Linked DNA regions of Caenorhabditis elegans. The protein of the gene in region 3 purifies or fractionates together with the protein of the main gene of each other region. This does not show direct contact. Each region holds a gene or a part of one and is shown on either strand. Other genes may lie near its edges. The genes, in order: R10E4.3, unc-85 and pat-10.

Region 1 (3,757 bases), on a different chromosome or scaffold from region 3:
CTATTTTATTTCTCCATATTTTATTTCAAAATTTTCAATCAACGTTTTTCAAAAGTTTGAGTATTTCTGCAGGTTTTTGAACTCCAAGAACTTTAGAATACAAACAATGGGAACACAGTTATTAAGAAACCGTGAGATCATGAGAATGCCTACCGTTTTGGCGCGGGAATATCTCGTAGCGAAGGCTCCTAAATCTCTCGTCGCTGCATGTTCTCTCTGCTGCCGCCATTTTTGCGCCAGAAAGTAGACATTCTCAAGAACTCATGGTTTCTTAATAAATAATAAAATTAGAAAATTTCGCAGAATCAAAGAAATTTGAAGTATTTTGGAGTTAATAATAGTGCGGAGCATCTAAAAGAAAAAGTTCGATACTAATAGAGACGGGAAAGACTAATTGCCAATTTATCGGTACGGCCATATTTTACAGGCTTGTCACGCTACAAGGTATTAAACAGGCCCAAATGTAAAACATGTTTTAAAATAATTTTTATTAAATCAGGGTTCCTTTGACAACGGATTTTTCTTGCTTCGTGTTGTTTCCTCGAGCGTTGTTGCAAGTGACAGCTCATCCCGTGTCGTTTTACGAACAGTTTCTGCAAAAAATTATTCATATAAATGAATACGAATGAAGAGGAGCCCGTCAAATTTCAACCCAACTTACTTAACGTTGCCGCCGATTTCTTCTTTTTCACAGCACTCTCCATTGTGGATGGCTTCTTGTGTGGTCTAGACGATGGTTTTCTGATCACTTTTAATTGTGTTTTATCATCTTCCATCGTTGACTGAGTTTCAAGTGTTCGTTCACGGATTGTTGATGTGGCTGGCTTCAGTGTTTTTCGTGATGGTTGGTTGTGGTGAACTATTCGAGACAACAGAGGAATTCGATCGTTTGAAGTGACACGTGTCAGTTCGTCCAGGGCTGGAATTCGAATTTCAAATTTCTTAATCAAACCTCAATTAAACCAAATTTCCGCGTAAATCGCACACTCGCGTATTACGGAAACACAAAACTCTGAGAATGCGTACTGCGCAACATTTTTGACGCGCGAAATATCTCGGAGCGAATACTACAGTAATTCTATAAATGACTACTGTAGCTATTGTGTCGATTTACTCTCGTGGCTCGAATTTCAAAATGAATTAAATCATAAATCATCGAAAATGAGCCCGTAAATCGACAGCGCTACAGTAGTCATTTATAGAATTACTGTAGTTTTCGCTCCGAGATATTGTTTGTTCCCGTAATATTGTGCATCGAAACATGCTCCATATTTCAATTATATGTGTTTTGAACTTGCTCTTGAAATATGGTGTGTCTGCACATGAATTGTGTGCAAACACTCAATGCACATAATTTCACGCGCAAATTAAAATATATGGTAACTTACCATCCATTCTTTCTTTCGTCTTCCTCTTCTTTTTCTTTTCCTTTTCTTCCTTCGATCGTTTCAACGGTACCAAATATTCAATTCCAGCAGTTTCATCATTGTCGAACTGAAAATAATTTAATTGCCCAAAACAATCAGAAAATTCATGAATACCTGTTCCATAGTCTCATTATTAAAATTAGTTTCTATCGAAGCGCCTCGCTTAACAATTATACTGCCACAATTCATTGTCAGATCATCGAATAACTTGGATACATGCTTCAAATGATTGATTTCCCCTTCTTTTGCCAGTTTCAACAACTTTTTATCGTCTTCTGTCAGCTCAAAGCCACGTTCATGACACGTGTCATGATGAGCTAAAAAGCGGATTTCTCGGGAAGTGAGACGGCTGATCGGACGAACTGTGCCTCCAGCTATTCGAGATTTTGCAGTGTCCTGAAATTAAAAATTATATTCGAACGGTGGTTGCACACTTTTTCATTTCTGTGTAGTATACAGACACAACACATTAAATTTTACGAGCCTGAAAGAAAATCTTCGAATACCTTTTCCAACTTATGCATTATTTGATTGTTTGGTGGTTCGTCTCTCGGGTAAAACCAAAACCATGCGATTAAGAAGCAAACAAATTGTGCGCCAAACATGATTATTAATAATATCGACTTAAAATGTTCATCTTCTTCGCTTCCGTCCTCCTCTTGCGACGACGCCGATGTCATTTTTGATAGAAAATAAATCAATTTTTGGTTTTTTTTGAAATTGGACATTTTAGAAAAAAAACGTGTCCTTTTCTTATTTTGAAAAAATATAATTTTTATCTATTTTTTAAACATTTAGCTATAAATATTTATGAATTTCCATTTCAACCTGAATATGAAAAAGTGTCGTTTGTAATTGTATTCGTTCGACAATGTCTTCACAAAATCTTAACCAAATATTCAAATCCGCTTCAAAAGCTAAAATGCATCCCAAACTACCCAGGCAATCCCACAAAACCCTCGCCATTATCTCAACTCTCGGCCCATGTTAAATGCTAAAAATTTAAATTTCCCAAACTACAGTAACCCTACAGTACCACCAACCCTAACCTAATAATAGCAACATTTTTTCAAATTCAAATTTTCCGAAACTACGCAAATCCTACAGTACTCCTGCAATAATACCGTACTTAGCTACAAGGGAAGTATTTCAACCTAATCCCGGACTTCCAAATGAAACTTATGTCGAAGACTACCTTTAGGTTAGGTTTCCACAATTTTCAGTTACTGCTACCAACCTCACACTCGGCTTAAAGTGATTTTTGTTTGTTTATTTGGTGAATCAGTAAATTTTCTTGAGTAAGTTCACCATTGTTGGGGCATTTGCCAAAAATCAAATTATTCAAGAAGAACTTTGGAAAAATATTCCTTTAAGCAGGCATGCCATCATTTAGCAAACGAGCGGTGAAAATCTTCTGATGTGTTTTCTTGACACGATCATAAACTAGAATTTGATTATTTTTCAAGGTCTTCGAAAAAGCAAACGTTCATTTAATAATTTAGAACAGTTTAAAATCAAATTGAATGAGAAAATATGTTAAGAATTGAGTATGAGAAAGAGATCCAGATAAAAAAGACAAAATTTTGAGAATTTATCGAACACGGTAGAGCATCTTGCGTTGCATCTTTTGTTGCAAGTCTCCACGACGGACCAAATTATCGATAACCTTCTTGACAAGAGACTCTCTATAATGTTGACGAGCAACAAAGTCTTGAACAATCAAATGCTCAGAAACGTGTGTACCGATTGCGAATCTCTTCTTCATTTGCACTTCGATACGATTCAATGCTTCTTGATCAGCTGTTGAAGTAAATCCTTCGACTCCTGCCAAATTTCCAGTTGCCGCCGCTTCAATTGTTGAAACACGGAACAGACGGAGCGCTTCCTCGACGTGCTTGTCAGTGGCAAACTGCTGAAGCTCCATCTTTGCAATACTTTCAGCAATACGAACAATGGCTTCGAGTTGACGAACGGTAATCGGAATTGCCGAATTATGAGCCTTCTTTCCTGATTCTGAAAATTTATGGGTTTTCATTACAAAATGATATTTTAAACTTACTAAAAGCATCAGCATTGACAACTGGATTTCTCATCTTAACGTAGTGATTAACGAGCTTCTCAGAAGCTTGCGGAGTAAGACGTGGTCCACAGTTCAAACGAGCATATGTGACGAATTTCTTGAGGAACTCGATAGTCAAGAAACCATCCGTATCGAACATTGTCATCACACCATCTGAATCAGTTGTGGCTGTTTTTGGGACTCCTGCAATATCACGTTCTTTAGCAGCAGATGCATTCACATGAACTTCGATGACGTGCTTCGCGAGGGT
Region 2 (3,345 bases), on a different chromosome or scaffold from region 3:
ATATTGAGACTTCGGGACAAGCGGACTTCTCATCTGTCACAGCAACTGCCAAGAATCGCAAGCAAGCTGCAGAGCAATTTTATTCGTTGCTTACCCTGGCCAAGTCTCAAGCAATAAGTGTTGATCAATCAGAGCCATACGGAGAGATCGTAATTCGTCCAGGAGCCAATTTCAAAGAAGCATGTCCACTGAGCTCTCCGAAACCGATGGGACTTGGAAATACAATGGAAAATTCCACTATGAGAACCCCAATGAGACCAGTTTAATCGTTTTAGCTTATTATTATTACTCGCCATGCATAGTTTAACCTCTTCATTGTATATGGTATCTCGATTTTCTTAAAAGCAAGTATTATTTTTATTCCACGATTATTCATATACGGATATTATTTTTGCGGTATTATTTGTTCGAAAAGTACGAATGTACTATCTTTTTCTGTAAATAAAAAGCATCACGGTTTTAATGTTCTTGTTAATTGCTCAGGTTCCGATTAGTCGAGAGAAGAATAGCGAAAAAAAAAAGATTAACTCGGCTCTACTCAACTTCAACGTTTCCGTGTACAATTTCATTCATTCCATCTAGTTTCAAGTGATTTGAGATTCGCTTTCTTCGTATGAAAAAATGACTACATAATTATGAAACTTGGTGAATTTCATCTACAAACGCGTAAACGTTATTAAAAAAGCTGTTAAAATCTGGAAATTACATTTTTCCATAACTTTCAAGACAGGACACTCCGCTGCATTAGAAAATGTCTTCGAGACTAAATGTACGGATTTTACTAAATTTTGAGGCAATTCCGAATAATTTTTGCATTTCAGGCCCACCGTGAAACATTCACGAGGGTACGCGCAGAAAGAGAAACGCAGAGGGGGTACGTTTTCGTAAGGGGATTTTTTCGTAAGGAACGCTTTCAGTAGGGCAATGTGCGGCGCGCCTTTTCGCAAGCCCGCCGCACAGTCCTTCGCAATCGATTCGAAATCGATTGAAACCCGTTTTTGTCATCGAAAATTCTGAAAATATCCGTATTTAGCTCGAATAAAACTAATTAATTTCCATTAAAAATCCGTTTTTAATTGAATTCCGTTCGAAATTTCCTGTTGGAAAAATAAATAAATAAATACGAAGAAGCGTGCGGCGCATTGCAAAAAGCCGTGCGGCGCATTGCGAAGGACTGTGTGGCGGGCTTGCGAAAAGGCGCGCCGCACATTGCCCTACTGAAAGCGTTCCTTACGAAAAAATCCCCTTACGAAAACGTACCCCCTCGAAACGCAGAGAACAAAATGCAAGCGCGCTCCACCGGTACGCGCCAATCGCCACCATTTTAACTTACATAATTGCGGGAATTTTTGATTTCTCATTTTTTCTCATCATTTGCGGATTCATTTTTGCAATTTCATTTACCTAAAATTGATACACTTTTTGTTAAAAATGATTTTTTTTTCAGTTTTATTTTGTTTCATGCCAATACTGTTGTGAATTGTCTTTTATTTTGAAAAAGTGGGCTCCTAAATAATTAATTATATTTTTCTTTCAGATGGCTTCCCGTGTCAACATTGTTCAAGTACAAATTCTCGACAATCCTGCGATGTTTGTCGACAAATTCAAGTTGGAGATCACATTTGAAGTTTTTGAGCACTTGCCGCATGGTAAGAAAGAGGAAAATATAAACTCATCGATAATAATGATAATTTTCAGATCTCGAATGGGAATTGGTCTACGTCGGATCCGGAACATCCCGAGACTTTGACCAAGTTCTCGATTCAGCGCTCGTTGGTCCAATTCCAGAAGGACGCCACAAGTTTGTGTTCGACGCGGATCATCCGGATATCTCGAAGATCCCAGTCGATGATATCGTCGGTGTCAGCGTACTTCTCCTGCGCTGCAAGTACAACGATCAGGAGTTTATCAATATGGGATGGTTCGTGGCAAATGAGTACACCGAGGAAGAGCTCAAAGAGAATCCCCCATCGCAGCCACTCATCGAAAAGCTTTCCCGCAAAGTCGAAACTGAAGATCTTCGCATCACCACATTCCCGATTCGCTGGACTGATGAGGATCCGGTCGCAGAGCCTGTCGAGGATGAGGCTAACAGAGTATTCGCGGAAGATGACCTCATGCCTCTGAATGATGATGGCCAGGAAGATGACGATGAGGAGGAAGAGGTGAGAAAATGAATTTTACTTATTCAAAAATTAAATAATTTTATTCAGGATGATGACGAGATGGAGGCCAACGCTGAAGAAGTGGATTTGAACGAGAGCTTCAATGAACGATTGGCCAATGCACTTGACGGGGCCGAACAGAAAGGCGCAGATGAGAAAATGGAGGACGATGGAGCAAATGAGGATGTTGATATGGCTGGTAAGTGTTACTTGGTTTCTCTAACCCCTTCTTGTTTCGTGATGTGTGCTTCTCACCCTGTAATTATAGATGACGAGCCTGGCGTTCAGATCAACACTGACACGAAAGTTCCGGAATCGATGGCGGAGCCACTCTCAGACAAGACAAACAACGAAATGGTCCAGTGATTTCACTTCCAGTTAATTTATATATTTTGAACTTATTTTTATTCCCACCCGATTTTCAGTGACTGTCAAAAATTCACATAATTCGTTCTTTCATTTTTTTTCTTTTCAAGAATTTTCACTTTGAATGTTTTCCGAATAAAACTGTACAGTGTCATTCATTCAATGTTTTTCTTAAAACAAACAACTGAATTATATAAAACTGGTTTATTGTGATTGTACTATATATATAATACACCGGAGTAAAATAAACAGGCAAATTGATATGACAGTTTGAACGTCAGCTTGATTTGTAGAGATCACACCGTTTCAGTAAAGAAATTGATTTAAAAAGAAAATAACTGGAATTTTTAAAAATGTCTAGCGAGTTCTACTTTTGATTTTCCTCGATTTTTACTACATCCTATCCATTTTCTCGTCCGGTTCATCGCCGATTGGCGAAAAAAGCGAACAACTTGCTTTTGTATTCTGGTGTCTGACGAATGACCACATTGAAGAATTGATCCATTAGCTTTTCAAATTCTCGGAATTCCGGTAGAAAGTGCAATGTTTGTTTGACAGCCGGCTCTGAAACGGGCGAGGATTACGGTAGCTACGGGTGACCTGAAAAGTTAGATAATCCTCCAATGGGACGAGTGGGAATCAATGAAAGACACGGGGGGAAGTATAACAGAGAATAATCGGCGTGTAGAAGAACCTATGTCGGATTCGTTGTATTTAAAAGCTTCGCGGAATAGGCCTTCGAGAAGTTGTGCTTGTTGTTCAGCATCAGTAACGTCGTGAAGATGAAGACTGAAAAAACTTTTGTTTAATAAAC
Region 3 (3,582 bases):
TGTGATGGACACTATTTGGAGTCTCCACCGTTAATCCCTTTTCTATTCCTGGAGGGATATTGGTGGGAAAGTGGATAGAAAAAGATAAAGCCTATGTTACACTAAGTTTATATAGAAAAGAGTTGAGCACAGATAGAGAAAAAGAGAGGGATTTGTTGAATTTAGATTTGGAACAATTGAAATAGTGAAAAACTGTTTTGCAAGTTCACAAGTATCCTGAAATTCATTCGTAGAAAATCTACATAGAGAATTGTCACTTTACTTTTGCAAATTTACAAAAACTGTCCTGTTGCGCTAAAACGGTAAAAACTGTAATGCCGCAGAGTAGAGGTCTCATTTGCAGTGATTTAATACATTTTCCATTTTTCATAATTTTCATTCTATTTAGAGACACTTCACTTTCAAACAACAAGGTTGCAACGGTGAATCTCTATATTTATAGAGATTTGTCATTCCATTCCCCGTAGATGGACTTTTCCCGTTTTTTTAGGTCAAGAGAAAACGGAGCACTATACTGCGGATTTGATGTTGTGTTAAAGGATTTGAGAAGTCTAGTTCTTCTGATTATTTCCTGATTTTGGCCGTTTCAAATTGGTCACACTCTTCCAATAAGCCTGTGGATGTACAAAGACTTTTATTCATTTTTATTCATTCAAAAGAATGACAAGAAAATTAATAAAAAGTGAAATGAATTTAACATTTCAAGAAAAAGGAAATTATGAAAAGTTGGTGACTGGTCCCCACAGTTGAAGATTGTAGATCAGCGCTGAAAAATAAAAAGTTAGTTTTTGAATAAAATCAAAAAAAGCTCGAACACTTACATTTTAAAGGAATTAGAAAATTTAATCAGACTCTCCAGCCATCAACTCCCAGAACTCCTCGAACTCAATCTTTCCGGAACCGTCCTCGTCAATCTCGTCGACAGCCTCCTCGAGTTGTTGATCGGTGAGGTCATCGGCGATTTCTTTGAGAAGAGCCTTCAGAGTTGGTCGAGAAATATATCCGTTACCCTGAAAAATTAATAATTAAAGAATAAAAAGCAAAATCTAAAAGTACAAACCTCCTTGTCGAAAAGACGGAAAGCTTCACGAAGTTCTTTCTCCAATGTTTCCTTGTCGACAGTGTTTGCAACGGTGTACACGAGAGCGCAGAACTCGTCAAACTCGAGCTTTCCGGAACCGTCAGCGTCGAACTTGCGGATCAGTTTACGAAGGGTCTAAAAGAATGAAGTTAGATGCCACATAGATTTAGAAAAATCAAAATCATCAATTCTATAACTAAATTTCATAACATATAGTTATATCTTACTTTAGTCGACATAATAAATGCTTTTGTTCAGATGGAATATCAAAATTAATTATTTCACAAACATTAGTAACATGTTTTAGTGGCGAAAATTAATTGAATTCAGTTGAGAAACAAGCCGCAGAAGATAGGTCGGATAAAAACAAAATTTTAGGCAAGAGTAACCCATTTATATTTTCGGTTATCTTACTCAGTTGGCCTACCTAATCATTACCGTGAAACCTAAATTTAAAAGAGTTGAAAACTTCCTAATTTGAATTATCACTCTTCTGAAGATCCCCTAACTCTACATAAACCAAAAGTTCCAAAATGATTTACCTTCTCATCGAAATCCTGTTCCATTCCATGCATGATTTGACCGATCTGAGTGGCCATGATGTATCCTTGCTTTCCTCTGTCGAAGGCATCGAAGAACTTTTGGTATTCTAGAAAGTTTTAATGATGATTTTTCAATCATAAATATAAAATATCTTACCCTCAATTTGGGATCCGTCGATTTCAGCAAGAATCTCTTCGATATCCTCAGCCTATAAAAGTATAAACATATAAAAATTCAAAAAGAAATTTATTGAAGACATGAGAAAGCGGGACTCACCATGTTGTCGGAGTTTGTTGTGCTCTGGATAAGCTTCGTCGGGCAGAAGCAACGGCGGGAGCGAGTAGGCGGAGGAACCCGAGGGCGGGCTTTTCTTTCTCACAACGGCATCATCGTCTCCTCCACAAAACACATTCTTGGTGTTACACTGGGTGACAGATGCTCCTGATCAACGGGCATGAGAGATCATAGAGGGCGAAGAGACGCAGAATGATATCTGTGTGGAAGTTGACGATGATTTTTGCGAAACACAGGATTCGAGAGACAAGGCTCTCCGAGAAGGAAGGGGAAACGGGAGGAGAGTACGAAGAAAGATTGGGGGGACAGGCAACCAAGGATCAATAAAAGTCCAGGAAATAGAAAAAAAATAATATAATTGGAGTAGAATTAAGTACAGAAATGGAGTTGACAGGCAATATATGTAATTGAACTTTCCCAGAATACTTGGATTCTTAGCTGTACATGGTGACCAGAACATCTAGCCTTTTTGGGCTTCAGAACACAACAACGTTTTTTTTTCAGTTTTTTTAAATGTGCACTGAGTATGTATATCTTTACAGTTTTATATCAAACGTTTAATTTGAATACTATTTTATAATTCTCAAGTTTCTCCAGTAACTTTTTATCGCGTGACACACCATTTTGAATTTAAACTTTATGTTTTTCCAATTCAGTTTAGTCGAGGGGGAGGAGGTAGATTTCTAATCATTCTTATTTATCATTTGACACTAAATTTCCGGATTTCAAAAGGAAACCATAATCGTGAGTTTGGAGCTAACAAGTAACTTCGGAAAACGTTATTTCTTTTGAAGAAGAATGTCGAAGAAAAAAGTGCAGAATACGAACAAAAAGATGAAAGAATGTTGGCTGACACCGATCCCACAGAATGTGGAAACTGTAAATATGACAGTTTCATTCAAGATTGATGAAAAAGATGTCGGAAAGCCTGCGAATGAAGTTATTAGAATTAATGAGAATTCGATGGTTTCTTTCCTATCAACAAACTCGTTTTACAATGGATTGATATTGAGTAAGTTTCCAACGGCCGGATAACCCGAAACTATTTTGAAGCGGGCCAACTTCATAACAGAATCTTGCAACTTCTTACAAACCATTATTTACTTTAGTTTTCTAACAAATTTCTGCAGCTTTTCAGATGACTCTTGCAATTTCTTTTGGCAAACTTTATGAAACATTTCGCTTAGAACTGCTCCGGTTTTTGCAACTTTGTAACATCTCTTGGCAATTGTTTATAAATGTTTGTTTCAAGTTGCAAGAGTTTGCTATGAAGTTGTGATGTTTTGCCGAACAAATGTATATTTATCCCCGATAAAATAATAGGCAAAAATTGGTTTGACTGGTACAAGGGTTTCAAAACTCTTCTGTCCACAATTATACATTTTGAGCCAGGAAAAGTCAATTTTCCTCGGAAGACTCCCTAGTTTCTTTTCCACTTTACACTTTTCCAATTAATGTATTAAACCAGTTTAAAAAACTAGATTAAAAATACTTTTCTTTCAGGCGACAAAATAGTCAAGGTGAACGGTGCCAGTGGAAATATATCCAAGTATCAGACAGAGCTCATGAAAGGTGAAACATGTAGTGTTGAGGTTACAAGACGGAAAAATATTATCCCAGCGACCAGAGAACGGTTGAAGAAATCGGGATGTGTTTTGAGACGG

The links.
Region 1: the proteins of pat-10 (region 3) and R10E4.3 fractionate together in Caenorhabditis elegans (co-fractionation; one large-scale study listed by BioGRID). This does not show direct contact.
Region 2: the proteins of pat-10 (region 3) and unc-85 fractionate together in Caenorhabditis elegans (co-fractionation; one large-scale study listed by BioGRID). This does not show direct contact.

What each region holds. Positions count from the first base shown.
Region 1 is NC_003281.10:4,285,366-4,289,122, forward strand, and holds R10E4.3 (uncharacterized protein), read right to left. Parts: upstream 2,115-3,757; 5' UTR 2,108-2,114; coding exon 1,934-2,107; intron 1,824-1,933; coding exon 1,542-1,823; intron 1,495-1,541; coding exon 1,389-1,494; intron 920-1,388; coding exon 662-919; intron 594-661; coding exon 496-593; 3' UTR 476-495; downstream 1-475. Other genes in the region: DNA replication licensing factor mcm-5, read right to left, coding at 3,019-3,440, 3,487-3,757.
Region 2 is NC_003280.10:4,700,532-4,703,876, forward strand, and holds unc-85 (putative histone chaperone asf-1), read left to right. Parts: upstream 1-1,537; coding exon 1,538-1,649; intron 1,650-1,698; coding exon 1,699-2,165; intron 2,166-2,213; coding exon 2,214-2,364; intron 2,365-2,433; coding exon 2,434-2,531; 3' UTR 2,532-2,688; downstream 2,689-3,345. Other genes in the region: scc-1 (Sister chromatid cohesion protein 1), read left to right, coding at 1-266; F10G7.9 (C3H1-type domain-containing protein), read right to left, coding at 2,953-3,095, 3,226-3,320. UniProt on the Caenorhabditis elegans protein: Histone chaperone that facilitates histone deposition and histone exchange and removal during nucleosome assembly and disassembly.
Region 3 is NC_003279.8:5,018,161-5,021,742, forward strand, and holds pat-10 (EF-hand domain-containing protein), read right to left. Parts: upstream 1,927-3,582; 5' UTR 1,904-1,926; coding exon 1,901-1,903; intron 1,833-1,900; coding exon 1,781-1,832; intron 1,731-1,780; coding exon 1,624-1,730; intron 1,217-1,623; coding exon 1,061-1,216; intron 1,011-1,060; coding exon 843-1,010; 3' UTR 822-842; intron 767-821; 3' UTR 623-766; downstream 1-622. Other genes in the region: C46H11.6 (PDZ domain-containing protein), read left to right, coding at 2,717-2,930, 3,422-3,582.